Linked DNA regions of Lepisosteus oculatus. The protein of the gene in region 2 interacts with the protein of the main gene of each other region in a pairwise test. Links are inferred from orthologs where the notes say so. Each region holds a gene or a part of one and is shown on either strand. Other genes may lie near its edges.

Region 1 (16,759 bases), on a different chromosome or scaffold from region 2:
TGGGCTTTACTGCACTGTACTGTGCTTTTTCCCTGATCTCACTGGGCATTACAAGATAGTGAGAGCACTGTTCTGTACTTTTACCCTGATCTTCCTGGGCTCTACTCCACTGTACTGTGCTTTTACCCTGATCTCACTGGGCTTTACTTTACTGTACTGTGCTTTTACCCAGATCTCACTGGGCTTTACCACCATATGTAAGACAGTTTTATCTCTGGTGGAGTCAAATTCCAACCTCAGTGACTCCCTGGCTGTAGATGAATGCTGCTGAAACAGTCTTTTTTTTAATGCTGGCAAACCGGCCGATCTTTCCCACATCAAAACAAACCTCGTCTTTTTACATGTGTGCGGTGTAGCCCGCCCCTTGTAATCGCCCAAAGACCTGAAAATCAGGTTCGTTTGTTTTTTCTGCGCTCCTGTGCTGTACGACTCCCCTCCTGAGACACAATACTGTTCTCAGAAGGCCAGCGCCTGGGGGCAAACCATGAATTGGAGCCGCGTTCCAGTCGGTTAAAAACTCGGGCAAAAAGAAAGCTTTAGCTAGCGTATACGTATAGCTCTTTCTTTCTTTCATGCTGAAGCTTTTCTTTCGTCTATCTATAAAGTGGGGCGTTATACTGTAGCCACCTCAATGAAGTGCCTGGTTCAAGTCCACAATGGCAGATCCCCAGCTGGGATTCAAATCCACTGCCTTGTAGTTTCCGCTTCAGAGCGCTGACCAGTGCACCACAGGCGCTGATGTACATGTCGATGCAGCGTGCCCATTTCATCGTCCCCGGCCTTTGTGAAGTATCTTTCATCCCAAAGGGTACTTGAGCTGTTTCCACATAGCAGGGGACCCACTTCACCCCCACCTGGGAGAGACACAGCAGCCTCACCCCAGGGGGAGGAGAGAAAGGTGAATCAAGAGGGGAACAGCAGGGAGGCCACACTGTGCAAGGCTGACAACACCTCCTAAGGGTCTAAGCAGGAGCCCCTTCGCTGATCAAAAGCTAAAGCGATTCAGTTCTTTGAGCGCAGGTGGGGGTGGGGTGGGTGGGGGGGACTCCTGGTCCCGCAGCACCCGAAGAGCTGGGAGAACTCGTTACATGGGTTCCACTCGGGCGATAACGAGCTGAATGAGCTCGTTAGGAGCTGAGCCTGGAATGATGCGATGCAGACATGCCGGCTGTGCCAGAACAGGATTGCCCATCCCATTTTAAACCGAACACATTCCTCTCGGTCCAGGAATGAATTGATGTACGTCATTCGGTTCGCAAACAGCTGATCGGCACGTGTGTGTATTTGTGTGTGGTGTGCTTGGCTTGTAAAGCCTCTCTTAGGGGTCCTTTCACCTCCTCCAGCAGAGATACAAAAGAAAACAGTCCAGGGAAACCTGTGATTGCCCTCTTTTTTTTTTTTTGACTCCTATCTAAGAGTTTATTTTTACAAGCGGAGAAAAAAGAAAACCCAGACCAGTTCTGAAAGTTCCCTCTACGCGTCTGCTCGTCGGTAGCTGAACTTCCTCTTTAAAGAAACCAGATGCCCCAGAGCAGGGAATCAATCATAGCTGAACAACTGCACAGGCCTTTAAAAAAACAAAAAAGAAGGACGACTCACTGCAGCCGAGTGCCAGACTGTTCTGGGAGATCTTACTGATGATGTCGGAGGGCAAGGAGGACATCCAGGCCTAAACTCGGCTGCTACAAACCATCCGTTGTGAGTGTGGTTATGTGAAACAGGGGCTCTACCCCAGACCATGAGGTCTCACAGCTGCACCTGAGCTATTAAAGTGCTCCAGTTAAGGCCGTAATTAGCTCAACTGGATGATTAAGAGTTGGGCTGGAGTGGAGGCCCTTCAGGTGCAGTAGTCCTCCTGGCCTGGAGTGGGGGCCCCCTTGATGTAAAGTGACTGACCCCCCGAATCAATTCATCTGCTAAACTGATCATCTGATCGGTGTGCGCCACACGTGCGCCAGGTCTTTATAAACAGGTGATTGAAGGGATGACGTGTGAAACCCCGCTGAACTGTGGCTCTGCGGGCCGCCCTTGTGTTCCGCATTTTCAAAAGAAGGGTAAGCTCTTGCCCAGTGAAAGTTACTGCCATCCCTTACTGTTTCAGCAGGACTTTTTCCCCAGCGCTGGAAAGCTCAGACCAGTCTCGGCAGGCGCAGGGAGGGCCGGCTGCAGTTCGCGCGCTGTCTGCTGGTCAGGCCGCAGCATGAGTCACGCAAGGTGGCGGCTTCTGACTGGAATGCGCTCTGTACACCTATGGTCCTGTCGAGACAAGACTGTCTTCCCGGCACGCCGAGGCAGCAGTCACTACCGGGGAAGTCGAGAGGATACGGAAATTCGGGGAGGCTGGAAGGAGGAGGAGGGGGGGTGGTGGGGGGTTCAGGGTAGTTGCCAGTTGCAGAGGCTAGTGTGCGCGGTCACGTAATCCCCAGCTGACCTGCGGACAAGCACTTCACGACATGGCCGCAGGGCTCCGCCACGAGAGCGCGGGTCCGAGGAGATGCAGGGGAGGTCAGGGCGGCAGTGTGGGAGGCAGTACTTTACGCAAAGAGTAACGGGTGTGTATGGGAGTGAGCAAAGGTTTACCCCCCTCTCCACCCACCCGTAGTCGGGATCCGAAAGCTGTCAGGCTACCTCATCCTGTGTGTGCGTTATCCAAGGCCTCAGACTGTGAGGGAGCCCCTTATGTGCATGAGGAGCCCTGTAAGATGCTACTTGCATTCACTGTGCTGAAGCTGCCAGAGTCACATGCACTAGTAGTCGGGCAGGGGTATCCTCGGTTTGTGGCTCAACAGCGCCACCCCTGTGGCCAATGCGGATGCATGCAAGCTTGCAGTGATGCCACTGGGAGCTGCATCTGTCCTCTCCTCAAGCCTGAACGCTTTTTTTGCCAAAGCTGGTACAAGTACCAGCTTGAGGATGAGGATTCCAAGCTAAGGGGAATTAAACTGCAACCCAGACGTCTGTTCCCTAACCCTAACCCAGAACCCACTTGATCTGTTTCTTCTACAGTTTCTCGCTGTGATCAAGGTCATCGCTTGGTTGACCCTGATGGAGTCAATGAGGTCACTAGGGTCACGTGTGACACGTTCGCACAAGTAAAGGCTGGGAGAGGTAGGGCTCGGGTGAAGGCAGTCTACCTTTCAGCAAGAATGTCACTAGGACATTTTAGATGTCATAGTGGCGTCTGTTCGCTGGGGCTGATGCCATGCTTGATACTGTACATATTGGCTCTCAGCCCGCCGGTAAAGTTCTGCTGGTTTTGTTTTGTTCTGTTGCACCACAATCCAGTCTGAATGAACCACTATGGTGTTGTAGGGCTTTCCATGCCCGTAAAAAAGAAAACCCAGAAAATTATAAGGAAAATATTAAGGAAATAAGGATGCTCATCGTACGCTCTCTCCCTCTTCACAGCCCCGGGGGGTCATGGATGAGGAAGACGTAGCAGAGATAAACACCTCTGTTTCTGATCGGACCTGTCTGTCATGCCGGCAAGGTGAGTTGGCACATTCTTCCGACAGACACTCAAGTACATCACATTCCTGCAAAGTCCTAGCGAGGAAGGAAGCAGGACAGGCCAGACCGGGTTGTTCATGATGAAACAGCTGCACGAGCTGGTGATGACTTTGACTCCACGGAGTCTCTGCTCCTCAAGTCCTTTGGGGACCCCCCCCCCCCCAAGTCATGTACATTAACATGGGGTTCCCTGTCCTGGCCCTGGAGTGTCCCTGTGCCCATTAGCGTTTGTTCCAGCAGAGCTCTTGATTAATGAAGCTTAAAGAATATTGAATTGGTTTTTAAACAGCCACACTCCATGGTCAGCAGTAAATGTCTTTATAGATCTAATTTGTGTGTGAAGTGTGGCGACAGAGTTCGGATTCGACTTGACTAAAAGCGGTAGTTTTCCTTTACGATCAATGAGTTGGACATCAATTAAAGATGCGCAGAAAAAGGTAATCCTGCCACTGTGACAGACGCTCTGATTATTCCACGTGCCGTACAGCCTGCTGGAGAAAATCTTTGAACAATAAGGCCTAAAGGAAAGGAATTCTGAAGCCTGGCGTCTGGCATAGGGTAGATGCTCATTTTTAACTTTCTCTTCATGTTCAAAAGAAATCTAAGGGCTAAAAATATATTTTTTTTTCCCCAAGATTCATTGACCTTAATGCATTATACTTCTGTTTCATGCAGTGCCTTTCACAACACAGAGTGCTTTACAAAACAGTACTAGAACAGGAGAGGCCTAGCCCAACTGGAAGAAAAAATACCAATACCCATACCAAACACTAAGGTCCAACCCTGCCTCGCGCACCCTTCATTTACAGTGTCTGTGACCCATTATAATGTCCTGCAGGGTTCGGGTATCAACAGCAGGCCCACTGGGAGCAGCTGTGGAGTTAGGTATGGGAATGGTAACCTTTACTGGCCTGGTTGAAGACAACCAGGCTTTTGTATGAGAACTGTCCTGGTAACCATACCATCACAGGCACCGTCACAAGATCTCTGTACTGTGAAGGTCAGGCACTGGTTTTGATATAGCAAGCTCATGCACTGCAAGTAATGGAGAAGCCCGACCGGCACAGTGTGAACCCTTCTCCTTTGGGTGGTGTGACTAGTGCACTGCAGAAACGACACAGCAGACAAAGGTGCAGCTTCAGGTTGGAGCTGCCAGGAACATGCCTGTGCTGGGTGTGACCCAGGCAGCAGTATCTGGGTCTGCCGTCAGGAGAGGCACGACTGGCCTCTCAGAGGCTTATCATCGCGGTACAGAGGAAGGCCTGGGTGCCCATCTTTGAGCACCTGAAACACCGCGTACAGTCACCAAAGTTTTGTGGATCCCCTCTTTACCGGAGGAGGGTTTGCTTCTGGAAAGAGGATTTCTGCAGGAGGGACCAGCTACAAGCCTTATGCTTTACCAGGGCTCTTTGGAAATCCGGGCAGAAAGAGGACTGAGGACAAGAGGCACTGTTTTTACTGAATCTGACGCCACGCAGTGCAGAGAGACATTTCCTGGCCCATGCTGGATTGAGAGAAGTGGGGAGGTTTGGATTGGAGTAGGCTGGGGACACCCTTAATGAGATGGTGCAGTTGCCCCCTTACTTCCAAGTTATTTCATCATGATGATGGGAAAAGCCGAATTAAATGCTTTAAAGCCCACTGCCGTTAAATACAATTGCAGTACAGTGCAGTAAAGCCCATGAGATCAGGGTAAGAGCACAATACAGTGCAGTAAAGCCCATGAGATCAGGGTAAGAGCACAATACAGTGCAGTAAAGCCCATGAGATCAGGGTAAGAGCACAATACAGTGCAGTAAAGCCCATGAGATCAGGGTAAGAGCACAATACAGTGCAGTAAAGCCCAGTGAGATCAGGGTAGAGGCACAGTACAGTGCAGTAAAGTCCAGTGAGATCAGGGTAAAAGCACATTACAGAGTAGTAAAGCCCAGTGAGATCAGGGTAAAAGTACAGTACAGTGCAGTAAAGCCCAGTGAGATCAGGGTAAAAGCACAGTACAGTGCAGTAAAGCCCAGTGAGATCTGGGTAAAAGCACAGTACAGTGCAGTAAGGCCCAGTGAGATCAGGGTAAAAGCACAGTACAGAGCAGTAAGGCCCAGTGAGATCAGGGTAAAAGTACAGTACAGTTCTGTAAGATCCACTGAGAGCATATGCCCTAGATAGGATTCTACTAGATAGGTCAGGTAACTTAAAGATTGCCACAGAAAGGTGGAAGGCAAATTAAATGTAAGATGTCAGCATGGTTTATTTGCTTGAGCAACTTTAACTGCCAAAGATGAAGAAATAGGATCCTGGAGCTGACACACACACACTGCTGAAAAAACAATTCTGGGCTTCTCTGAGGGACTCCTGGATCATCCTGGATCCCAGTTTGGAAAACGTAACCCCTTAATCAAGTGCCGCCACCCCCCACGATGGAATAAACAACACGCTCCTGTGGAGATGACCGTAGATCAGGTCGCTCCAGTCAGGTGTCTCCCGTCTGGGTCAGGCAACGTTTCCTGCTCTTCTCCTGCGTCGGCTTCGGAGCGGCCTGGCGCTTTAAACCCGGGAGTTAACGACTGGGTGCTCCTGCCTTGGGGAAACTCGGTCTCTACCTGGAGGAGTGTGATCCCACATCCCTGTCCTCTTGGCAAGCCACCCAGTGGTAAGGACCCCCCTTCTAACGTGGCCCCCTGCGGGGCGGCCAGAAACCTTCCCCTTGCGCCCCCAGGACAAGGAGGCAGGCCGTGACATGCGGAGAGGCAATTTTATTTCAAAGACTTACCCGTGAGGTGCAAACTGGTCTTTCACATCTGTGTACGTCCCCATCCCTTCGCCCTGTAGGCAAGACCAACGGGTCTGAGCTCGTCTTAGTAGAAGAAAAATAACGATGGTGATGATAAATCAAGGCATTAGTGAGTCGTTTCTTCCCCCCAAAAAACCGGCCCAAAGCCCAAACGCTCTTTTATTTTCCTTCCTCTTCTGCTTCTGCGCGCCGGTCCTCTTGTCTCCTCCCAGCAGTGGCGCCTCGTCCACCCGGCTCCCTGCACGAGTCTGAATCTGTGACACTGAGCCCGTCTCTCTTGGCTCTCTACCTGCGCAGCCCTGGGGCTCGGGCTGCTCTCATTGGCTGAACACACCTGCCCCCCTGTCTCTTTCTTCTTCGTGAAGCAGCAACAGCAACAACAACAATGGAATAAGAAAGGAAGGAAGACTGGGGCTTTGCTAGGGCCACTCCAAGGTCCTAAAGCCCAGCCTCTACAGAGCAGGACAGCGCCGCGCGGTTTGCTTTCTGGAAACCACAGCTAGGATTGCAAGCGCAGCAGCTTTTATTAGGGAAGTCTCTTCAGCAGTCAGCTTTCTGTCTCATGCTCCTGCCCCAGGAAAATACTGGAGGATGTCGAGCTTCATGGGAGTGATCCAGCCCATCCAGATCATTGGGAACAGCCCAGCAGGAGGTGATCCTGCTGTTTCTGATGCTCGTGTGATTTTATGGAAGTTTGTGAACTAATAGCAGATCAGGCATTTCTGCCTCAGCGCTGACCTCACAAAATGTCACAGAAAGCAACAGCAGACCTGGCTAATGTGTCACTTAAGACAGCCTCAAGGCTTAACTCTTACTGGATCTCAGGATACAGATGCAGCATGTATGTAGCTGTACTTATGGACCCCATCCTCTATCCCCCCAGTCTAAGAGAGACCAGGAGGTACAACAGTAAAGCCCCTGTAGTTCTGCTCATCCTGCAGTTTGATCTGTCGCTTTTAGATCTTTTTTAACAACCATTTCACAGCTTCGCCAAGATCGTCTGCAAGGAATGGCACCAATCTCTTACCTAAAGGACACTGCTATGGGGGATGAACAGGCCAGAAGCCATATCACTCTGCAACTCACAACTGGCAGCCCACTGAAGCTCCGCAGGTGTGAGCCTGGTCAGTACCTGGATGGGAGACCTCCTGGGAAAAACTAAGGTTGCTGCTGGAAGAGGTGTTAGTGGGGCGAACAGGGGGCGCTCAGCCTGTGGTCCATGTGGGTCCTAATGCCCCAGTACAGTGACAGGGACACTATGCTGTAACCAGGCGCCATCCTTCGGATGAGATGTGAAACTGAGGTCCTGACTCTTTGGTCATTAAAAATCCCAGGGTGTTTCTTGAAAAGAGTAATGGTGTTACCCCAGAGCATGGCCAAATTTCCCATTGGCCCTTACCAATCATGGCCTCATAATAATCCACATATATATGAATTGGCTTCATTACTCTGCTCTACTCCCCACTGAGAGCTGGTGTGTGGGGAGCGTTCTGGTGCACTATGGCTGCCGTCGCATCATCCAGGTGGGGCTGCACATTGGTGGTCGTGGAGGAGATCCCCATTACCTGTAAAGTGCTATAAGTGGAGTGTCTAGAAAAGTGCTATATAAGTGTGAGCAATTATTATTAATTATTATAACACTAGGCTTGAATCTCCTCTGTCACCCTGCCCCCTTGTGGACACTTGAGAGATCCACAGCTATTTCGAAGTGCTTCTTGGTGGGAAGAAACAGTTTCACAGAGTCACTTTCAGTTCTTTTTCTTCACAGAAACACTTCTTTGTTCGAATGCAGATGTAACCACATTTCCTAGTGTGCAATAGTCCGGCCTTGAAAACCCCACCTTTTAGCAAAGCAGTTTTAATTCAAATGACAAAACTCTGTGCTAACCGGAACGTGGGTTTATCTCATCTGCTGCAGTTAAAGCCTCTTTTATCAGCTACGGAGAAATTTGTTTTTCCACAGAAACAGCAGGGTGTTTTTTTCAGGAAGTCAAATAAGCCGGCGATTTGATAATGAGGTTGGATATGTTCTTGACACAATACGCGTCATGAAATGGTAGGCACAACCACACCACATGCTCATTGTAGAGGGAGTCCTTTTATAAAGCTTTTTCAAGAGATAGGTACAGACCGATCTGAACTGAGTTATGACTAATTCAAGCCAAGATGATCCCAACAAGTACTAACTCAGGGGTGTGTACGGTTATCCCACCCATTTTTCTAGGTTTTCATTTGTAATTACTTTTCAGAATGTTTTGAGTTATGTTATGAGGTTGTATGTTACAAAGGTAAACAGAATTTTGGCTTAATCTTAAATTTAAGTCGTGAATTCAGGCTGTTAGGACACAAAATGTGTTATTTTGGAAATGGCTGGGTAGACGCATTTACCAATTACTACCTCATGCTAATTTTCACTTTTCCAAATTTTGATCTCATTTATTAGACTGCTTTCAACATAATTCTGAGTCCCCGAAGACAGGTGTGTGTGGGTGCACACATTCCTGTGTCTGCCTTTTCACTAATAAAACCAGTACCAGTGTCTTTCTGGGGTTGCAGATCACACTTTACCAACGTGTTACAAAAAAAGCCTGAGATATCCACTAAAAAGGCACCTTTACAGGAGCATCTGCCTTTTCTACTCCCTAACGCATCAGCGGTGCTCATTTTCCCCAGGTTGTTAAGACTCTATCATGTTATAAACTCTAAAACTGGTTGTAGGGAGGTTAGCACAGGGTTTAGAATCACTGCCTTGCCATACCACTGGGGCCCTGGGTTCAATTCCTAGCCCGTGTTGCTATCTGTGTGGAGTTTGCATGGTCTCCCCATGTTCTAATGGGCTTCCTACTGGTGCTCTGGCTTTCTCCCACGATCCACAGACGTGCCGGGGGGCTAATTAGCTTCTGGGAGAGTAGGCTGCCGTGGGAGTGTGTCTGTGTGTCTGCTCTGCGATGGACTGGCGTCCTGCCCAACGTGCATCTTGGCTTGTCCCCATTGCTTGCTGGGACAGGCTGCGGCTCCTAAGTGACCCTGAAAGGGTCCAAAGGGTGGACCGGTCGTTGGGTTATAAAGAGTTTTCGAACTGCGGCAGCTGTTAAAACTGGTGAATGAAAGTGAGTTTTTTTTTAAGAAAAGGCACGAAAGCAACAAATGACACTCAACACAATTCATTTTTTTAAAGAGAACTGTATTGATTTCAAGATTTCAGGGTCCAAACCATTCCATACAATTGGCCTTGGCATTCATGAGGTAAAAAAAAAACGGACGGACTGTTGTCATTCCGGGGTTTTTGCATATCTAGGTACCAAACACTGGTTGTGTGGGCAACCAGTCTGACGCGGGAACTGGCCGTTGCCCGACCCTTTGGAAAATTCTTGCAAACGTGTGGGCACAGCTCTCCTCGGAGATGTCAGCTGGAAAGACCCGGGAAAGCGGAGTAGGAGGGGGAGCTGGGAAAAATCTTTGGATTCCTGTTGGAGATTTATTGGCATAAATCACCGCCAAGCAGCTGACAAAAAACACACACACACACACACATATGCATGTGCTTGTGAGGCCTGGGGTGCAGCTCTCACAAGAACACGCACAACTAAAGAGGCTGGTTTTACATCTGTAGGCACTGACGCCGGATAAAAAGCAAAGTTAATTTTGTGCGACTCTATTTGGAAACCACTGGAGCCGGCGCAGTGTTTACAGGGGTCGTGTGGCCATGTGTTACTCTGGACAGCCCTGGATGTTTCTCGTATGGGCTTTGGGGGGTACAAGGGTACACATTCCCCCAACTAGACAAGGCCCCCTGGTACCTGTACCCATTGTGCCGGCCCTGGGACCCATCACAGCAGCAAACTGCAGTATAACAGCAAGGGGCTGGTGTGGGCAGAGGTCACTGGCTCCACAGACCCCCACTTTCTGCCCAAATAGCCGGTACCCCAAAAGCGGGAAACGTCAGCGTCAAGACTCAAAGACCATCATTCTTCTTCTTCCCATGTTGAGAGTCTTTAAAAAAAAAGGGGGTCACAAAATGTCCTTCGCAAAGCAGGAATATGTTCCCAAATGCTCCCGGCTCTGGGCCCTGATAAACTCTAGGCAAGGAAATGAAATCCAGGTTTCAGAAACCGGGCTCAGCGGATTTCAAGCCTCCAACACGAAGTGGTTCTTTTCTGCAATGTGAGATTTCTTGTGAAATGTCTGACGACATGAGGGGAAAAAAAAGTGGTGCTCCTTGTCCCTCCGGATAACAGTTCAAGATCCCCGAGAGCACCTACGGGTCCGGGATCTCTTTCCGCCCGGGAAGAGCAGGTCCTGCCAGAAGGTCACGCCCGGATGGGCCGTGAATGTGTCGTCCTGCCCAAGGGTGAAACGCCACAGCCTGCTCCTCTTTCGACGGGAGACTCGACGGCTCCGAGCGTTTTGGGAGGGAGGGTGGAGCTCGCAGGTCCGTCCGGGCATGGGAAGTGTGGGCACAGAGAATCAGGGGTCCCCTGACCAGCAGACTCCCCACTCCCACACCAACTTTGCATTAAAATTTGGAACCTTCAGTTGTACGACACCCAACCTGCGTGATGATGACTTCAGCTTTACCACTACAACTCAGGCGCCCCGCTCGTGGCGGAGGACGAGAACCTGCCCCAACGTGCCCAGCTCTCATTCGCTTGACGCTCGACACGCCGCGAGCTCCACAGCGGCCTGATGGGAGAGCCGCCATCTCTCGCCAATGCTCAGCCGGGCCTGGCAAGTCCCAGGAGCCATCGTTGTGCCGAAAGCCGGGACAGCGCCGAGCGACGGACCACCCCCCCCCCCCACCTCACTCCCCCGGCAGTGCCCGTCCACGCTGGGGAGACTCCTGGCCGCAGTCGGCTATTCTCAGCACCCAGGCTCGAACCTGTGATGTCTCTCGGCCACGGGGCGGTCAAACTGTCTGTATTTTGCTGGAAGCTCTCCTTCACACATCCTCCTCAGGGGACAAAGTCTCGTCCTTTCAGAATACTGCACGGTCGTCCTGTCAGAGAGGAGGGGAAGCGGGTAATTCGGTGGTGACAGGGGGCAAGCGGGAGGGGTGGGGAGTGGGGAGTGGGATGGCAGGGGAAGTGGACAAACTGTAATATTTTAGAAGTCGCTCGCATCCCCTACGGCCCCCCCGAGGAAGCGTCTTCTTCTGAATTCTCTTCGGCCATCCTGCCAAACTTCTCCAGGATGGCCTCGGCGCTGAACCTGGGCGGTCCGTTGTCGAGCGGGCACCCTTCCACCAGGCTGTTCATCGGCGTGGGCGGCACCTGGGAGTCCTCCTCCTCGGGGGTCGGGTGGCGGTGACGCCGGGAGGCGGAGCACCATCGCAGGCGGGTGTCCTCCTCGAAGGGCGGGCAGCGCGAGGGGTCGAACTGGTCCTCCAGCTCCCCCAGGTCCTCCACCTCCCCATAATGCCTGGTTCTCCCTTCAAGCCCCCTCAGGAAGGTCTTGAGGATGGGCATCACCTTCTTGCGGGATGCCAGCGTGTTACCCTGCAGGTAGGCCTTGACGTCCGCGTAGGGGCTACTCATCGGCGACAGATTCAGGTCAGGGTTCTGGGCTCTCTCCAAGGCCTGGCTCACCTACAAATCAGGGGAGCAAACACGAGTCCCCATCAGTACATAATCTGCAAACCCCCACCACCACCCCACGCTGGCTCAACTTAAAACACGTCCAACAGCTCGAACAGTGACAAGAGGAACATGACCTCACAGGCTCCTGACAGCCTACAGAAGTCTCTGTTGTGTGGCCATCTGAGAGCATCCCCTGATCTCTTCATCCCAGAAATGACCACAGAGCTGAAGTTGTGTGCCCAGAAATGCCCACATGCTCTGGTTTTATGCATTATGCTGCTCTGGGGAAACCTCATTTCTGCTCTGGCCTGTACTGGGGTACAAACGCTCTCCTGATGTCTCTCGAGCAGGGAAAAGTGCTCAGTTGTGTTTCCCTAGAACGAAACAGCATCCTGATTACAAACTGCAGTGAGAAAGTTTGTGATCTTGGTCATCCCCTTGGCTCCATCCTGCACCAACGTCCCAGTGAGTGAGCGACCCTGTGGAGACACAAAGCTCTGGTGCATTGTGGGAGGCAACCCTGAGGGACACAAGCTCCTAGGGAATACCATGAAGGTCTGCCCCATGTGACTGGAGGAGGCACCCCTCTCTGGGCAGTGAGGGACCCGAGTGACCCCAGGCTCCAGGGGGTACCACACAGGCCTCCGGCATCCCTGGGGGACAGGGGTCCTGGTGACCGTAGACCCCCGTTTCTATGGGCTCACCTGCTCCCTGAGAGCCGTGCTGGCACTGTAGACGGCGATTTGGCGGAAGGGCTCCTTTCTCTCATTGAAGGAGATTGTCATGACAACCAGGACGCTGTAGCGGTGTCTGTGGCAGAACTCACACAGCTCCTGCTGCAGACCAGGCCTCTGCAGGAAAGTCTTGGAAGGGGAAATTCACAATGACATTCATAAAAAAGCATTTAAGTTCAATCTTGAGTATCTGCTTCGATTGTTAATGAATAGTTCCCCATTATAGCCTGTGCCTTTACAACAAACGTTCAAGCTTTTCTGACTTTTTTTAGTCGGAAGACGCTTTTACAATGAAAGGTCTTCAAGTCCATCGCAGATAGTCATTTCAATTAAACATTAAATTCATGTCTCTCTCAAGTCCTCAAGTCTCAAGCCCTTCTCTCCCTCGGAAATCATCCTATATATTACGTGTTTTCAGACTGCAAAGAACAGAGCACTAAGAAGACAGCAATCGCCTGCAGGGAGCGACAGGGTCCCACCTACCTCCAGGATCACATAGACCACACTGACGGCCAGGGACACATCGCCGCCGGACTCCGCCTTCATGTCCTTCAGCAGCATCTGCTCCGTGGAGAGCCCTGTGGAGAGACACACGGAGACGCTGCCGGTCAGTCAGTGAGTTTCAAGGGGTCAGAGGTCAGACCTCTAGAGGGACTTAGAGGGACACTGCTGGTCAGCCAGCGCAGTGCACGGGGTCAGAGATCAGATCCACAACCCACTGTCCCAGTGTGCAGATCTCATCAAAAGAAGGTCAGGGAGGATCTGAATGGTACTCTTAAGAATTTGGGGGTGTGTAGCAATATCATGAGTAAACTTGACACGTTTTCTGCAATGGGTCGCACGCTTTCTGAAACAGTTTTTTCACATGGTCCAGGCTGTATGACTCTTCAGTCCTGGATGACCAAGCTAACCTGGCTATCTGCGCAAGAAAGCTGCCTCTCAGCTGACCATGGTGTGGTCACTCAGTTTCTGCTACATCAAAATAGGTGAGTCCTACATTACAGCGACAGGAAACCCCATCATCTTAACCACTAGATGGCAGCCTAGTCAAAACTTTATCTTTGCGGTGGGGGAAATTGGTTTTAGGAGAAACTGAAACCCTCTTTCTTGCACTTCAGGACTGACTAGTCTGTTGTGGGAAAAAAAAATTACTGGCATAGTTTCAATAGTAGAATAGGTTGGCCAAGTTTGTGAAAATATTTTTCTTTAATGTTTTTAAGACTAAGCCTAACTGGCACCTGTAAGTTGTCCTTCTGTTTGTGTGTGTGCACCCTGCAACAGACTGGCACTGCCCTATGTCTGCCAGGGTGGGCCCCCAATTGTCTGGACCCCCTACAGCAGGGGCCAGTCCTGCTCATGGAGATCCTCAACCCAGCAGGATTTAAGGATCACCCTGAAACCACTGCTTTCTAAAACACACGGGAGAACTGGTGGCTCTTCAGTCGCATGTCTCCTGAAACAACAGTGAAAACCACCCTTTTCGGAAATCGGCTGGCTGTCCTGGGTGAGAGGCGGGGCCTCAATCCTGCCCAGTTTCGCAGCTGGACCTGTGTGCGTGGCGCCAGACTTCTGGGGTTCGTCCTCACCTACTTGGACTTGTTACCTGCGCCATTAGCGGAGACCGAGGGTCAATCGGCAGTACCTGACACGTCAAACTTGGCGTTCTGCAGCGCGTCGAAAAGAGCGCCCCTGGGGGGCAGGTCTGGGAAGCGCGCCTCCAGCAGGGCGACGTACTGGCTGTCCTTGGGCGTCACCTTCCCGGCCTCGGGCGCCATGTTGACGCAGTCCAGGACGATGGTACCTGGAATCAGAGAGACCGGGTCGGGCTGGTTCCACACCTTCCGACTTCTGATTGTAGCGTTTTTTGTGGGGGGGGGGGGGGGGAAAGTTTTGGAGGTGCAAATTATTTTCTATTGCATACTCGCACGAGTTTTGGGATTACCAACTGTTTTAAGACAGTCCTTAAATGCGGGATTTGGGGTCGTGGGGGAGCTGGGGTCTATCCCGGCAAGCACCGGGCGCAAGGTGGGGTACACCCTGGATGGGACTCCAGTCCATCACAGGGCAGACACCGACACACTCACGCTAGAGACAGTTTTCCCCCCAATCCAATTAACCCACCAGCATGTCTTCGGACTGTGGGAGGAAGCTGGAGCGCCTGGAGGAAACTCACGCGAGCATGGGGAGAACATGCAAACTCCGCACAGATAGAGCACCCCAGGAATTGAACCCAGGGCTCTGGCGCTGAGAGGCAGTATGCTAACCACAGTGCCGCCCTGCTGCCCCTTCTGAGAACTAGAATAATGAGAAAATGTGGAGAGAGAAGGGATGCTGATGAAAGGCGCTATATGAGCATCACTTTACCATATAAGAGCTGTGCCACCTGTCTGTCCAGGACCTCCGGCGCTCTCTGGCTGATGTGCTCCGTCACCAGAGTGGCACAGGAGCCCACAGGCTCCACAGTGAGAGGGCAGGATGGGGAGGGCACCCTATCCAGGTGGTGGTGGTCGATAACCTCCACTACCGCCCCCTCCAGGCTACCGTCAGCTCTGCAGCAGGAAAAGCACAGATGGATCCTGATAAGGTTACATCGGCAGTCACTCAGAAGTCAGTCAGACATCAAACTTAGGAGATGGTCTCCTGGGTGGCTCTGCTGGATAAGGTGCTTATATTATATTAGGTGAGTGAGGACAGCTCATTAAGATAACAACAGTTTTATAATTGAATTATTATGCTATTATCTTGAAAAAGAGACTTTATGTGGTTTCCTGAATAGTCAACCGGTACAAATGCTCACCCTGACCAGCAGTCTCACACTCAGATTGACTGATCCAGTCTGGGCCGGGTCATACTGTAACCCTACAGTCCAGAGATCGCTGGTCCAGTCTGGGGTGGGTCACACTGTAACCCTACAGTGCAGAGACCACTGGTCCAGTTTGGATGAGATCACATTTCAAAGCAGTTTTACAAGCTGCTGCACTGTTTGTGCATGCTCCCTTTTAAGCAGGGTGTTGTGTTACAGCTGTGCTGGGTCACTCATCTGACCTGGGCAGGATGTTGTGGTCCACCAGCGTCAGAGCCAACCTGCCGGTCCGGTGCAGTGCCTGCAGGTCGATTTCATCCCGAAACAGCAGGCCCTCCTGAGGCAGGCCGGCCTCTCGGAGGAGAAAGGTGTTCTCTGGGCGCAGGGGGAACTCCGAGCGCCGGATATTCAGTACCGGCACCACCGCCGGGTTTGCAGTGGTCTGAGGAGAGGGACAAACGGATGCTACTTTTCTTTTAGGATTTTTATGTATTTTACCTAGCAAGTTAATTCAAAATTTTAACAAGACTAATAAAAAAAGTAAGAAGCAAAAAAAACAACAACACAAAATACATAAAAACAAAAGCAAAGAAACCAACAGCCCAATAAAGAACAGAAAGGTCAAACTTGCTCATGCCTTTTTACAGTTTTCTTGTTGAGGTTAGAATACAGTCGATGTCTGCGAGAGAAGTAACAACAGAATCACTGGATATGTCAAACACTCAGGGGTGTGTGCAAATCCCAGTCTTTTCCAAAACAATCAGGACAGGGAGCCCAGATCCTATGGAATCACTCCAGAGTGCCTGTCCTGTAGACACAAATCCGGAATTTTTTAAACTTGATAAAAACAGAACAGATGGGAGCAAAAGGGAATGCAGCAGAGCGTATGGGAATGGAATGGAGTGGATCCGAACGGAGTGGTTGGGAACAGAAGTGGAATGGAGCAGATGGGAATGGAATGGCTTGGATCGGCATGGGTTAGTACGGAACGGAGGGGAGTTACAGTTCCTGTCCGGATCGCAGAGCCGGCGCGCGCAGTGGGGGACCCACCTTGGCTAGGAAGTAGGCGAAGGCGAGGGCGGACACCATGGAGTCGAGGTCGCAGGCTTCGTTCCCCAGCACCACGTGCACCCCGGAGCCGTCCTCGGCGCTGCGCTGCGCGGGAAACACACGGGAGGCAGGCCGGCGGTCAGACGCTCTGCTCCTCGCAACCCCAAACCCCCGCGACCGGGCAGCCCCTGACTCCCACCCTGGCCTGGAAGGAGGTCCTTCCTAGCACGTGCGTATGTCCTGGTCAGAGATGGCTACACCCACCCAGGGCAGCGCTGTCAATGGCTGCTGATCCTGG
Region 2 (16,228 bases):
GTCAAGTGCAAAGAGTGCAGGTGATAAACGTTGTCTGTGAATATCAGACTGCTGGCCTTGAACTAGTGGAAGCAGTGTGCGACAGGTATTCAGGAGCTTTAGAACTCATAATTGTGTAGTGTTATACGCTTTATACACAGACTGTACAGTAAAAAGCGTTGGGGAACCATTGTAAATGAGTGATGTACAATAATCACAGGAAAGATAATGATTTGAGTATGGAAAATATATTCCTTTTAACCTATAAAGGCTTGTAAATTAAAATCTTAAATCACTTTACCACACAATATTATTTCTCTTCCTGCATCAGAACAGCTGTCAATGCCTGCTATGATTGGAATGGTGTTCTCAGTTGATGTATCGCAAAAGAGAAAGTCAGTGCTGCAGCTCCACTATAAAATCATGATTTGTTAAGTCCTATATATTTAATTAATTGATGGGAGTGTTGCAATTTCAATTCACAAAGTAGATTGAGGCATTACTTTTCAGACATAGAATTTAGCTTCCAATATTTTTGCTGCCCTGTACTGGCTGACGATTTCTTAAAACTGTCTCTTTTCTATTGAACAGCCTCCTGTTTGGTAAATAGGCACTTAACTAAACTAGCAGGGTGACTTTTTTTGAATTGCCAGTAGAATGCGAAATAACATTTTATTGGTTTCCACTTACGGTTTTGGTTTTTCCTCATGTACTCAAACAACTTCATCACCTCCGAGTTTTCATTTTCATCCCTCGATTTCTGTAAATCCCTTCTTCCCCCCAAAATAGGGCCCCATCTTTGTTTCCTGCTGGCCTCGCCTTTTCTTAGGCACAACCCATTGCTATTTAACTGCTCTTCCTGCTTCTATCATTTGGAAAAGTCTGGGGATGGGAAGAGGGCCATGGACATCTTCCTCCAAAGTGTTCACACATCCCCTCTCAGAAAAGCCACAAACTCACAGTACACTATTGAGAGATATCCCGTTAGTGTTAATCCATGGCAGAGGAGCATTTCCAATAAACGAATACCGGGGTGTGATCCTCTTCCCCCAGGGCACTGTCAATTCAATGAGGGCTTTGTGCCTCTAGACCAAAGGACAGTGTCTGGCCTAAGTCTAATGCTGACTATTTCCTCAGGAAAGTTGAGCTGCCTCTTAAGATCGGAACCGCAAATGACTGGAAAATGCAAGCAGAAGATCCCCATTGTCCTTTGCTGCCTTTACCACACCCTCTCCTGACCTGACAAAGGGGTAAAATAAGGGGCCTGAGGAAGCTGGTCTGGATTCCCATTGGCCACCTCTAGTCTGGTTGCCAGCTGTGTCAGTATTTGTTCATGTTGACACCTGAATCTCCCACCTGACAGAAGGAGAGCTCATGCTCTAGACTTGCTGACCTACCCCCAGTGTGAATTTAGGAATCTCCACCAGCTCCCATGTACAGAGGCGGGTTAACGTGAGCAGAACTTCATAAACTGAGCAAAGCAGAAATTTGATCTTTTATTCTTCCATGTTCCAGATGTCTTGCCAGGTCAATTATCAGACATTACATCCAGTAAAAACAGCTGCAAAATTCAGTAACTGCAGTTAAAAAGATGTGAACATTTTTCATGGTGACATTCTTTTTGAGTTTTATTTGCATTTGATGCATAAGCATAGATAACATTACTGGAACCACCTGACTGAAGATCTAAGGAGGACCTGTTCTGCAGAGAGCATGATTGTATATGATCTTTAACTGTTACACAAAATAAGAACCTGCTAGGTAGGTTTTCTATAAATGCTGTAAATAGATGCACATCTTTATTTCCTGACACTGAAGTGTCCCAAGGATAATTGTTTCAAGGATTCTTTATGCTGCATCTGGCCACATGGTTATTGCTCAAAACACAGGCTGTTATATTTTATTTCTTTACAATCTGGATGACATCTTCATGTTCCATGACATGTGTGAGCCCAACTCTCTGAGGGCTGTACTTTGTGCTTGTTCCCTAAAGACATGAAGAAAAAACATTCACATTATCAAGACGAACAGCTACTCCACTTCTTATCCAAAAAGCATGCGTGAATCAATGTGCCTACAAAGCTGACGTACTTACCCACACCAGTGCGTACTTGAACTGGCTAGCTAGTGTTCTATGAATCCGATGGCACTGAAAGATAAGAAAAGGAATTAAACTGTACTCTTCAAGTTATGCATATTGTTTTAAATCTTTTTTAGAAAATTAGAATCTCTAATAAGTTCTGTTAAAACAACTCCTTCTGAAAAAGCCGTCTATCTCGGCTCTCAATTGCGATCTCCACAATGTCCCACAGGAGAGGCCAGAAATGCTCCTCTGACACACACACCTTTGACCTTGACAGAGCTCAGCCTCCTGCTGTTCTGGGGCGGTGCTGTGTGCGAAGTGGTAAAAAGGGAGAGGGACTGCAGGTGGGCAGAGTCAGGGGAGTCTGCCTACGTGTCCCCCCTCTCCCCTGTGTGTTGTAGCCAGGTTTATAGCTTTAAGCCAATAGGTTAAAAACACGCAATAGGCTACAACAAAAATCGGGTGTCTGCAACAAAATAATCCACAATTATAATTTTCTTTTAAATTCAGCGTCTGACAATTCATGACACGTCACAGGCAGCACAGCCCGGTACCGAGGGCTCAGCTCTGCAATGAGGATAGATGCACCACTCCCCTACAGTGCCGCAAGCCCTCAAGAACTCAGCAGGCTGCAGGGGTCTCTGTGCTGCTAAGAGCTGAGACAACCCTGGCCAACTAATCGCAGCCCACCCTTGGGGTTGTTCAGCCAATTGTGTGCTACCGTTTGGGGAATCTCTGTCTCAAGACAAGCAGTGATAAGACTCGGGCTTGAACCCACGATCACAGAGCTCAACGGGCACTCAGGCAAGCACATATACTCATTGAACTACTTAACCCCAAGAACAATTTCAGTTCTTCAATAAGTCCAGTCACATGAGCTCATATGAAACCCTGAATTTAAACTGTACTGGACACCAGCTTGAAATCCACAGCGCTGGCCACCTACAGACTATGTCGGCGCACAATGATTTTGCCAGATCACTACTGAAAGGACTATTATTCTTCATTCTACCCGGGAGACGGCACAAAATACTACTTTGTGCTCAGGGTTTTGCTTTTTCCAGGTTTATTTCACAGTGGCATACCATCCATTAAGAGGCAATTATCAGCTACATCCCACTTTAACAATAATTAGCCATCGTCCTCTGGAAACAGATTGTTTTATTATTAACCACAATTATAAACATAAACAATGTAGTTGTAAATATACACCACAAACATCTCCATTAAGTTGAAATGAATATTCCCTGGATAGCTTGCTCGACAACAGGTTAAAATAAACGCACAACCAGATTATATATCAGCTGGTAAACTGTGGCACCGAAAACTGAGCTATAAGGGCTGTAAACTATACCCAAGAGACTCATTTGGGAAAATGCACAGTGGCTGAAGTGTGACGTGAAACGCAGCTTGTTTTCTCTGGCAAACAGTGGTTGTTTTTCAGTTTAGACAGTGAGAACAGAAAACACTATTCCTTGGTTCTGTGCTTTCCTTGAAGGAAAAACAAAACTGGTTCATTTTATTTTAAACACCTCAAGGCAGAAGGAAAAAGACGTGAAATATCTGCTTACCACATGTTCGACACTAGCTCCTCTCCTCATGATAATTGCATCTGAGAAATCTGGTCTCTCTAGAAACAACACAAGAATGGATTGGGTTTTTAATCATGAGAAAGGTTAATATCGGACTGCACCCACGCCAAAAAAGGTTCAACAGCGATTACATCGTCACCAGCACTAGCTATATTCACACACAGGGTTTTCTTTTGATTAGAGATACGTATAGTGACATAGGTATGCATGTCATTAAATCTGCATTGTAAAAATTCACAAGGATATAAACTTCACACATACTGTGAAAGAGGACACAAGAAAATCTAGGAATTTATTTGCTGGTGTTTTAATGGACGAAGCAGCCGAAACAAAAACTCTCCAAGCATGGCAAACAGAAGAGCCCACGCTTTATTTAAAACGGGAAACCTCAAGACGCTCCACCCAAGACAATTCATTAAGTAACCCGATCTCTGATGAAGAATAGGTCACTAACGACATTTCATACAACAAAACTATGCTGTTTCGTTATCTAAACGAGCAACGGGCTATTTTATCTTCTTCTTAGTCTCCAACATGGCAGAATAAATGTATTATATAAAAAGTACATTTTTAGTAGAGAAAGGGAAGCCTATATAATTGCCTGTAAACACTGATGCCTTCTAAAACCACCACAGTCAGAGAATCAAAATTAGTTATTGCAGTGGACAAAATAGTTAGGACATTCACTGTTAACTTCTGTGTCTACTGAACAGATGTTTTAGTGAGCTAAGGATACCTCCTCTTTTCTTAGTGTAGATGCAGATGAGGGCCAGGTACTCCCAAAGTGTCTCAAGAAGGTAATCTAGATTAAGCTTCATCCCACAGCTGAAAAAAAACATGGTCTTATCAGCAAACATGAAAAAGTGCAACAATGCCACTGTTCTTTTCTGAAACAAGAAAAACGGCCACAGGATATTTACCTAATGACCACGCTATTGGGTCGTTTGGCCAAACGGTCTACCTCTTCCATCGAGATTTGGTCAATTTTATTGTACACCTGCAAAAACAAAGGTCTACACTTTTTGACAAGAAATTTCTCTAAAGTCCAAAAATGAGAGTCAATTTATTTTTTGTTGTCAGTTTGCACCCTTTAGATAAAAAAAAAAACACTCAGCACCGTTTTATACTTACGTATAAGCATGGCATATATACTCTGTTTCCCACAATTACATCGATGAACTCATCTGAAGTACAGTCTTCTCTAAACAAAACCTCTGCATTAAAGATTTCTGTGAGGATGTTTTTTAAAGAAAATGTTTATAACATGCATAAACATATTTCATATCTGTATATTGGTGTCTTAATATCTTCTGATTATTTCAATGAAACACACAAGTTATTTCTCAGTGTTATACACGGCAGTTTGTCATATTGCACCATATTAGGTCATCTAAATTGCTTTTAAGCAATGTAAATGTTTTTTTTCCCAAAGGAGAGGAAACAACACAAACATTGGGAAGTCATAATACTCATTCTGAAATGTCACTAAAACAATTTTAAACCTTATTGATGCTCCTGTATGAAATGACTACACAGTTTTATTGTATCTGTTCTGGTTCTATAATAAAAAAAACATCTTTTAAAAAGAGACCATAAACTAACAGCCACCATTAATAAAAAATTGATAAGCAAAGGTTTAATGAACAGTGTAATGTTTCTATAAATAATCTCTTGAAAGAGAAGACATGTAAATCACCCTGTATCTTAGTTCCTGTTGTTCTGGAGCAAAAAGCACACCGCTAGGGTAAGACACATTAAAGCACGCTATCACAACCCGAAAACAAGCGGATTTTTTAGGTTGACATTAAAGGATACTGTATTCATGAAGAATAAGCTGCACTAGTTTTTCAGAGCAGTGGGTAAGGGGGACTGTGGAGTTGTAGGAGATGCCTCCACCCTTCTTGGGCTGAAAAAAAAATATTACAAATCAATATCGCTCCAAGAAAATTCAGATATAAGGCTTCACTTTAAACTTATAATCAAACATGTTATACATTTTAAGCATGTTGTGGCTATTTCTCATTTACACTAACATTTGCTTTATTGCTGATCTGTACATAAGTTAACCCCAGATAATACCTTGAAATATATATTAGGCTTCGACATGTTGAGCCTAATTCCAACAGATTCCAACTCCTTTTCCAGAAGCCCCCTGTAAAAAAAATAAATAAAAGATTACATTCAAGGACTGCATTTAAACATAGGAAGACATTTTAAATAAACTGTTTTTCAGGGACACAGCATACTCGCTTTTAACTAAACTGGAGGTTTTTCATATGACGCATAAATAATTTAATTTATTTAAAAAGCAGATCACTAACCTCTGAACATCCCCTTTTGTGGCATCCAGCATCATTATGACAACATCTGCAGTTCGGGCAACAGCAATAACTTGTCTTCCTCTACCCTTCCCTGCAAAGACCAGCACCCACACACTGATAAAGGCCATGCTAGCACCAGTTACACCTACAGCCCAGCAAAATGGCTGCTCACTGAGAAGCTAGCCCAGCACTGAAAACACACCAGGGTCATCACATTGCAAATGAGATGTCTTATTAATTAAAACCTTCCTAAATTGTAAGGGATCACAAAGCTATCACTTCCAATTAAATTACCTTGTGCTGCCCCTTCAATGATCCCAGGTAAATCCAACAGCTGGATGTTGGCACCTTTATACTGCAAGAAAAAATCCACATCACCTGTTAACCAGTGTCGTGCAAAAAAAAAACCTTTTGATGTTTTTCCTTTTACAAAACAAACTAAAAAAACAAACAAAGAGAATACCTCTAAAAATATTGGTGGATTCATATTGCCATTGCATTGACCTGGATGCCAAACAAATTTAAGGCTCCTTTGTGAAATCATGTGCACCCTTTTCAAAGAAGGAAAGCAAGACAACCATACCTCAATAACTCCAGGGATACAGGTCAAGGTCGTGAACTCATAGGAGGCGGCCTCACTCGCTGTTGATGTCATAAGGCTGAGGAAGGTGGACTACGAAACAGAAACATCACATCGCCTCAATCAGAAGTTTAGGAAGTTCCTCAAACAACCTATGGCGTAATATACCTTTGTACGCCAATTCCGACACACATTATAAACCTTTCCTTCACATAGGCAGAGTAAAAACTAGGACTTTGGCAGAAAGTAGGTGCCTTACCTTACCCACGGATGGGAAACCAATCAGTGCCACCCTGGCATCGCCCGATTTCATCACATCGAAGCCTTCGCCTTTGGCGCCAGCTGACTTGGAAGGTTCTAACAGCTGGGCTCTGTACTTTGCCAATTTAGCCTTCAGCAAACCCAGATGGTACTCAGTTGCTGCAAACCCAAAAAAACAACAATGTAGTGTCAAGGAAATCTATACCTTATATCCTAAAAAATGTAACTAACATGTTTTGAAACTGGTGCTGCAGAAAACTCATTTGATGTTGCTGCACAATTACTCTCTACTATAATATTTTGGTTGATTTCTCTGTGTCATCCCAACCCCCCCATTAAAACTGTAAAAGCAACACTAAAGCAGGGGTTATTAACTTGTTACTTCCATCCCATTACAAGTCTTTGCTGTGCTGTAGATCATCCTTAATTATCAATGTTCTTCAGCGCTCTGGTTTTTTTAAGGACCAATCCTGCAAGACTTATCATAATGTACAACAATTATTATGTTCTTACCAGAACAGGGGACACTACGTAGATGTGCATTTAAAACTGAGAACACAAGGCACTGATCTACCCAAAGGGTCGTGGGAGTATGGAACAAGCTACCCAGCCATCTTGTTGAAACGGATAACTTGGATTCTTCCAGGAAACAGCTGGGAGAAATGACTGGAACAATTCACGAATAACTACTAAATGGCCTGGATGTGCTGAATAGCCTGTATTCGTCTGTATCTTTTCTCACGTTTTTGTGGCTACCCCTGCCTTAAAGGCTAACATAAATCACCGAACGTACCTTTGTTTTTCTGGGTCCGTGCAATTTCTTTTTCGATGTCTGATATTTTCTCGAGGATTCCCATTTTTAACTCCGAGGTGTCCTTTTATAGAATACTTGGAAATTAAAAAGACATGTAGCTCTGTCACGCACAACGTGTCCTGTCCGCAAAACCAGGCTCGAATTTCACAAAAGAGCGTTTAGCATTTGCAACATTTTGCAAGCCATAAAGCGGCCTGAATAATTAAACACGGTTTTTAATATATATTTTGAAAATAAATGAAAGACTGTCAATAAGGAGACAATAATATTACTTCTACACTTCCCTACACAAAGTGCATGCACAAGACAATTACTCCCTCCGGAAAAGGGAGCCACCGTAAAATAGTTCGGAGTGCAACCAAACCCGCTCGAAAGAGAATTTAGTTCCAGAGTATTTTGAGTTGAAAGTCTTTCAGCTCAGGGCAGGTAACGTGTGATAGAACCCCCTTTAAAAGCACAATATATTATCTTTTGAAAATATAGCTATATTGGAGAAATAATAGAGAACATGCTCGCGTTAGTATTTTTTTTATTTACTCAGATGACCAAATAATTATACGTTGTTACATTCTATTTTATGTACATAAAAAGATGGAGGGTTAAAATAAAATAAAATTAATGTATTTGTTGAAATGTCTTTGTTTTATATGCATATGTACAGACCAGAGATAATGCGTTATATAAGAGACATGTCTGTCATATGTCAAATATAGAATGCATCCCAGAAGCCTTTGCGCCTTGAACATGGCTGCGACCGGCGGTACGAGAGCGCCTGACCCTTCTTCAGTAGCCGGGCTTGCCGGTTTCCCGTTCGCGATTCCAGCTGTCCCCTCTGAAAAAGCGTCGGAAAAGACGGATGAACATAAAAAGAAACCTTGCAGGGCTTGCATGGATTTTAAATCGTGGATCAAAGAGCAGAGGAAACAGTCAACGCTTCAGGTGATGCAAACGAGGTTCAATTCAGTGCTACACTTGTCCGAGTCAAGACATTGGATTTAGAATGTATTCGGATCACGTTTAAGTCAGTTAATATTACACGTGGATCGTATTATTTAAATCTGCTTACTTAACTGCAGTGTTAGTATCATTGTGGGATAAACTGATCAGCTTTACAGTTTACTCTGTGCAAAATACATTTTCTTTTCTCGCGTCTTTGCAGAATTGCGGACTTCCTACGATAAAAATAGCACGATCAGTTTTCAGGTTTGGACATGGAGTTGTCGCCGAGATTTTTCTACACTACGGAGACTGAATCCCATTGTCAGGGACGCGTGAAAATGTTGAAGTTTCACGACTTTCTTTTTTTTCTGCCGTCTGCTTGCCCTTTACTTCTAGGTCTCGGAAGTTTTTACGTGTTGCAGGTCAGGAACGTCAGGAGGGAATCTTTCTCCCAGGTGCATAGCTTTGGTTAAGACGCTTAAGCAGTTATGTCTGAAACGCTGAAATATTATTACATACCTTTATTTCATCAGGATTAAGTTTACACACTGGAATATCTGCTGTCTCTAAATGGGTTAGTGAATACTGGATGTACTAAAGCCCCTTACCTCCTAACCAGATGTGTTCTGCGTGAGCACATAACTGTCCTTTAAATTGCACTGTCTCCCTCCAACATGTAGAGTTGGAAACTCCGAGGTTTAGGGTTTTCTTGCTCACGTGGAAGGTACAAAATAGTCTAGCTCCAGATGATTTTAAGCATTTTTCGTCCTCACAGTCCAGTTCTTAACACAAATTCTGCCGATTCTTCTGAGGAGCAGGTGGTATACAATGGGAACAGACCTTTGAGTCTGCCACTTCAGCTCAGAATAGGGTCTGGCTCCCCTGCGGCCCTGTGTTGATAAAGTGGATGTTTTGAGATGATATATGGGGCTGTTGGAACCCACCCACTAGGTGGAGCTGTTGTACAGAGTATGATGGGGAGACAAAATGTTAACGTGGAAAAGAACTGTTTAAGATAAGATTACTTTATTGGCCATATACAATTTCTCACATTAGGAATTTGTTTTTCCACATACCCCCAGCTTGCTCTCCATGAGACACAGACACGGAGAGAAGCTGGGGGTCAGAGCGCAGGGTCAGCCATTTATACAGCACCCCTGGAGCAGCTGGGGTTAAGGGTTACTCATCAGAGTAGGATTCCCCTGCTGGCCGCGGGATACGAACCGGCAACCTTCCAGCCACAGGCGCAGATCCTGAGCCACAGAGCCACCAATCCGCCCTGTTTATCACATATACTGAATCCGCAGTAATGGGCTTGGCGGGGTGAAGGGTATATTGACACTCTCAGACTGAAGAAGTCCATACTGATCACACCTCCAGGGAATGGAGGAGGAGGAGGAGGAGATGGGGCAGGGGGTGTAAATGACGCGGTCGTCTTTCTTCAGGAGAGCCGGGGGGAGGAGGAGAGGGAGCGTCCCGTGGAGTGCCCCCTTGATCGGGAGGAGCTGGGCAGGAGCACCTGGTCCTTTCTTCACACCATGGCAGCCTACTACCCCGACACGCCCAGCGGCAGCCAGCAGCAGGAGATGAAGCAGTTCGTCAATCTCTTCTCCAAGTTCTTCCCCTGCGAGGAGTGCGCCGAGGACTTGAGATCCAGGTTCGGGATTGGCCTCCTCCGCCTGGCAGAGAGCTGACATCCGGGGGAACGGATGCCGTCTGTTTGTAGAGAGGATTTGAAAGATGGCGTGTATTGTTTTTGTCACTTAAAATATCGACTCTGTGTTACTTCATGTAAACGATCAGTGGTATTACGTTAAAAGTTGTTGCACTGTAAGAATGACACATTTCATCAGACTCGCAGCAAGGATGGGAGATTAAGAAGTGTGCAGCACCTCGCACTGTTAAGTCAAGGCTATATTTTGACAAACACGGGCGATTCTTACTCTGTCATTCTTCCCTCCTATTGCAGACTGAAATCTAATCAGCCGGACACGAGCAGCCGGCACAACCTGTCTCAGTGGATGTGCCACCTGCATAACGAAATCAACGTCCGCTTGGGCAAGCCTGAGTTTGACTGTGGGAAGGTGGATGAACGATGGCGAGATGGCTGGAAAGATGGATCCTGCGACTGAACCAGGCCCCGCTGGGCACGGAGACCCTGAGCCTTGACTGAAGGCTGCCGCGCGTGCACGGCCCTTTCAGAAGTAGGCATCCCAGCGCGCGCCGGTCCCCTCCCTTCCTCGGCTCCGAGACCTTTGGTTTTTGTGTCCTGTGAGCTGACCCGGCTCTCATGAAAAGAAAAACGGGTCTCCGTTTCCCGTTTGACATCGTCTCTCTGCGATTTTCGTTTGACAAACGAGTGAATATTTCTCCTCTAAATAAGGCAACGACCAATTGTTCTAGCTTGTTAATTGGGGAAAAATAAAGCACTAATACCATCCGCAATTACGAATGAACCTTAGCTAATCAATTACCTCTTCAATGCCTGATTTTGATCCCTGGGACAAGTAATTCCAGTATTTGAATACGTGTCTTTGTTTTCAGATCAAATACTTACCATACAATGTAGTAGCATAGCAATATGCTCTTACTTTGGCTCAACGGAAGTCTTTAAATCCTATAATCTTATAACAGTTCTGGATTGTGACTGTACAGAACAGGGGAACACCCTGCAATAGTATCTTTAATGATACTTGAGAGAACTTAAAAACCAGAGAAAGCACAGCAGCTTTATCAGGTCAAAGGATATGATTACCAGTGGAAAGTGCAAAATGGCTGTGCTGTGTTTTCGTTGGTTTTCTGGTATTGTTTCTGCAGATACAGAGCCATTTCCTGACAAATAGTCTGCAGTATAGAAGGGTTTTCTGTTCTGTTTAACGCAAGTCACTTATGGTAGCACAGTACATCAAGCGATCAACTTACACACGCATGTATGTAGTATTCTTTCTTCCTGTAACATAACATGATTTTCCCATCTTTGTTTATAGTTGCAAATACCCTATGACCCAACAGGGGCAGCTCATAAACTTCCCTGCAAAAGGTGCGCTTCAGAAAATGACTTACTAACTTGAAATGTGCAAGTCTACCTCTGCTTCATGAATACTACAGGTTGTACTTGAACCCCGTCCCATTGAGTATGAGTTTGCAAAATATTAGCCATGTTCTCGTGTTTCTTTTCTTTTTCAGGCGATTTTAAGTCCCTTAACTCTTGTTCCACTCCCAACTTCACAGTTCTGCACTGAATATAAAATCCCCCCAGGAGCTGTTATGTTTTATATATTTTCTCTTGACAAAAGGTTAGAATTAAACAGGACCTGGGGGAGATTTTATTTCCATTATTAACTTAGGGGTGTGAGACATTTTGTGAGAGGCTGTGGATTTGAAGCACAGTAGTAGACGACAGCTCTAAAGTTTCATTGAGGAAAGAGTCTCCAATGGAGACCGTGTAACAGTGCGGCAGGGGGCGGAGCCGCGGCGAGCGCCGGTAAAGGTCGACGCCCCTTCTGAAGAGGCGGAGGCACCGGTGTGAGGTTAGCGAAAACCGAAAAAAAAAAAACCCCACAAATTAACGCTATCTAACGGGGTCCGGCCTGGGGAAAAAAGGGAGCGCGAGAGAACTCAACCCGGTTTGTCCCGGTGGAGGTACAGGGCGGGACAGGCGAAAAGAAAAACGAAGGAAAAATGCGACCTTACGCTCTCGGCCCAGTTCCCACGGGGAGGTAGTTGGTGTCTTAAGGGTCCTTAATCAGCCCTAGCAGCTGTGGTGTGCTAATGCCACACCCTGCAACATCTGAATTTTCCCTCCTTTATCAAGCTTCTCTGATGAAGCTTCCTCTGAACAACAACAACAACAACAATCTTTGCATAACGGAGAAGAATTTGGGCTGAAATGTATTCATCATGCATCAGAGCACCAGTAGGTGCATCAGTATTTCAGTATTGAATCAGTGGTTACTCCCACAGTCCAAAGAGATACTGGTAGGTAAATTGGTTGTGGTGGATGAGTGTGTGGCCTGTGATGGACTGGTGTCCCATCCAGGGTGTATCCTGCCCAGTGCCTGTTGCTTGCTGGGATAGGCTCTGCTACCCAGAATTGGACGAACTGTGTACAAAATTGGTGGATGGGTTCAATAATCGGTATAAGAGCTTAGATTTCATTACAGCCGCGCCCTTCTTCAGGAAAGCTTACAAGCACATTAACAACTGTGGCAGATTGAGCAGCAGGACCATAGACTGAACACTGAAGCAGACGTCATGGCTGAGGATATGCTGTTCATGGAATTTCAGTGATTATATTGATAAAACCTGTCAATTACAAAAAAAATCTCAAATGCACAACAGGCACATCTTAAGTCCCTGTTTTGCTTTAGAAACATCACCAGTGTTGGCAATTTGTTTTCTCAGCTATAACATACACCTTATGTTTCCAGATGAATGATGTTGAATTCTGAAACACGGCACCAAATATCCTTGTCCAATTTAAAACAAGCCTTTTGCTCCCTCCCCGTGTTTCCTCATAACAGAACTATGATCTATGTAATATACTATGAATTTTTTTACAGCATGGCAGATACCCTCATCTCAGAAATATACTGTTTGGTATTTAAAAATAAAAAATTGACATTTTTGTGTGTTTTGTATTTAAATTGTACAGTTTAGATGTGAACCTAATATGTAATGTGCATTGATGTGGTAAATGGAACTAACTGTCTTTAAAGTTACTAAATAAAATGTTACATTGTCCTCTGTATTTTTCCTCTCTTAAATCTTAAAGCAAAGTACTTTAAGAGTTACAAATACACTTTTTAAACCAAATCACACAATTAACTTTTTGAATAATTTGTGAAAGAAAAAAATCACTCAAGAAGTATTAGTTCCATTGACCAATAGAGGGTGTAGTTCTCTTATGTCCTTCGTGAAAACCAGAACTTTAAACTACAGGTGTGAATTAAATTTGATACCTATGAGCTGGAAACGTTGCACAAACGTTGAAGAAATTAGTCTTATTTAGGGAACCTGATCTTGAAAGCAAACAAGGTTTCATCTAAATCTACCCGTCATTTGAAACCCTAACTGTAACAATTAATATTAAAATATATACATGCTTCAGTTTAATTACGGAGAACAATATTAATTTAGTCATGTTTTAGTGCTCAATTTGCCTGTTAAATTTAGTTTATTTTCAGGACAGTTTTAAAATCTTGTAGACTGTTCGGCGCAGATATTAACCTTGTATATAACCACGATCTCTCTCCTCAAGTAGGTAGCTGCATCAGCATGGGTAGGCAGCAAAGGAACATGTAAGGGTTTATTCCGTGCTGAAAAGAGAAGAAAGGAAACAACGTGTTTTTTTTCTGCTCTTTTCAGCATGGAATAAACCTTTGCTTATCTATTCTCATGTTTGCGAGGCCAAATGCCCTATAGGGTTACAATAATGACGCCTACACATTGCATTGAAGAGATGGAAATATAGATTACGTACGCGAACATACATAAGCCAAATGCATCAAAAACGGCGCATAATATGCATCTCATTCAACTTTATTGTCACTCTCTCACAACAGAATTACCGAGTGTTTACAGAATGAATGCTTTTATGCAACAATAATGAAGAATGATTAAGTAATTAATGGCATATATATATATAATGAAGCATTACCTCCACGCAATCGCAGCTACAGTATTAACAGCAGGAATCCCCGTGTCTGAAAATCAATCGGCCAGTCAATAAACGTTCAAGCATTTCCTTGGAATGCATTGCAGGTCACAGACTGATCCAATTTTCTGTCAATATACAACCAGTATCCTGCGAAAAAGATGAAGACCCCTCCACGCACAATATATGTAAATATATTGTTTAATGATATTTAGGAACTGGAAATTTCAGCCTCATACTTAATGTAACTCCCATTGAGCTTAGCAAATGGTCGTCTTTCACAATTCCGCTATGACCGTCCTTCCAGCCCTCATTTCAAGACTTCCCTTGAGCCACACGAGAGAGAACTGGCCTTGAGCACACATTTCCAATCTGGGAGCGCACACGCCTCGCCTCCAGAAGTATGATGCTTCTAAAGGCTGCGAGATGAACGATGTACAGTATTCTCGTGGTAGTACTGCAGGAGGCTCCACCTAATGTCCCCCTCTCTGTAAACCTGATCGGGAAGCAGTGACTTTCAGACTGTACAGAGGTTTTAGTAATCAAACTAACGTGCTGCTCACGGGCATTCAGTCAGGGTCTATGTATAACGATACTGAGCGCTGCCGTGCAATAACAGCTCGTCTTATCTACAAGCCTAACGGATGCCCCCCCCAACACGTTGCTAGGCCGATAATACTCTTGTAGGCATTTTTTTTTAGTTTCAAAGCACCGAGGAAACTGCCTGGTTCCCGTTTACGGCGTTTATTTTGTTAGCTGGCGCTGGAAACGCTGCGAAGAGAATCGCCGTCAGGGGGTACGCCTACGAAGGGACCAGAGCGGCAGGTCCACGGATGACGGAGGGGAGACATCTCGCTGAGATGCCCTTCCCAGCCCGAGACTCGGGTGAGGAGGAGGAGGCGAGCGAGACTGCAGACGCTCCTCCGTCCCCCCCCCCTGTGCGGCCGCCGGTGCGTGTGCTTGTGACTGCCTGCGCGTTCAGGTTAATCGGGGCGGCGCTTGGAAAGCTAGGAGTTAATTAAAGGCCGGCGGCCAGTAGCACTACGAGCAGAGCATCGAGTAAGCAGTTCCCGGGGGGGGGTGAGGGCTTCGCTTGTTTACCTTAGGAGCGCTATTGAGCCCCAGGCTGAGTCTGCACCCGCTGCAGTCAGGAACGCCGCTTAAACAGGCTCTCCCCCAGTGCGCGGACTCGCCAGGCTTGTGCACGCCGCTGATCGCCAGTGGGTGTGTGCTTGCAGCTCCTACCCGTCTGTGTGAAGGCGAAGCCTGAGATCCATACATCATAAGGCTGGGGTGCAGTGAGAATAAAGATGGAAGGAGTGGGGTCTTTCGGAGCTGGGAGAGCTGGCGGAGCTTTCGACCCTGTCGCCTTCATCAAACAGCCACAGACAATCCTTAGAATACTGTCCTGGGTAAGGGCTATACGTTTTGTCTTTCGTTGGTTTCATTGTCTTGAATGTCCCCTTTAACATCTAGCAGCTTGAATGAGAGCAAAGAAACACCTTAGCTACAAGCAAGCTTTTTAGCCTTCACGGGTTTTTTTTTCCCATATGCAGTTGTTTATGAATAACCGTTATTAGGATCCATCAATCTATTTTTTTTTAAATCTAACCGTTTAATAAAAGTCAAATTAATTTGGGTAAGAAAGGGGTTGTATTTCATAGCTGTGCATATTTGCAACAGTATTTGATTTCATTCAGTGGAAAGGTTTTTTTATTTTCTTGTGATCGGTATTTGATGTACTTTCATCTTCTCAAATCTGAAACCAAAAGCAATTTTCATTGAGCACCTGTTTAACCTTACTCATTTAGTGAAGGCTACTGTATTTGGGGGGGAAAATTGTCTTTTTTTAAAAAAATAAAACCAAATATTGCTGGTCAGATTAAAATGGAACTGTTCCCTGGGCTATGTTCTGTTGGCACCAGGCGCTTTAAAACCTTTCATGTTAATAAACCGTTCCTGTGCGCCGACATCCGCCGTTTTCTCTCGTTGGAAATATAGTA

What was found.
Region 1: the proteins of gfer (region 2) and bnipl interact in a two-hybrid assay, tested with the Homo sapiens proteins (2 studies listed by BioGRID and IntAct). The link is inferred for Lepisosteus oculatus from reciprocal best matches to the Homo sapiens genes GFER and BNIPL.

Annotation. Positions count from the first base shown.
Region 1 is NC_090722.1:5,500,505-5,517,263, forward strand, and holds the start of bnipl (bcl-2/adenovirus E1B 19 kDa-interacting protein 2-like protein), read right to left. Parts: upstream 6,726-16,759; 5' UTR 6,322-6,725; coding exon 6,278-6,321; intron 3,491-6,277; exon of another isoform or gene 3,409-3,490; intron 3,109-3,408; exon of another isoform or gene 3,007-3,108; intron 1-3,006. Other genes in the region: prune (exopolyphosphatase PRUNE1), read right to left, coding at 11,422-11,883, 12,579-12,737, 13,092-13,186, 14,251-14,409, 14,973-15,157, 15,654-15,853, 16,462-16,566. UniProt on the Homo sapiens protein: May be a bridge molecule between BCL2 and ARHGAP1/CDC42 in promoting cell death.
Region 2 is NC_090714.1:12,799,317-12,815,544, reverse strand, and holds gfer (FAD-linked sulfhydryl oxidase ALR), read left to right. Parts: upstream 1-8,343; 5' UTR 8,344-8,344; coding exon 8,345-8,569; intron 8,570-9,578; exon of another isoform or gene 9,579-10,014; coding exon 10,015-10,226; exon of another isoform or gene 10,227-10,285; intron 10,286-10,538; coding exon 10,539-10,701; 3' UTR 10,702-11,017; downstream 11,018-16,228. Other genes in the region: drg2 (developmentally-regulated GTP-binding protein 2), read right to left, coding at 1,880-1,966, 2,075-2,128, 3,634-3,692, 4,391-4,479, 4,575-4,651, 4,786-4,883, 5,470-5,560, 5,734-5,806 and 5 more; syngr3a (synaptogyrin-3a), read left to right, coding at 15,536-15,637.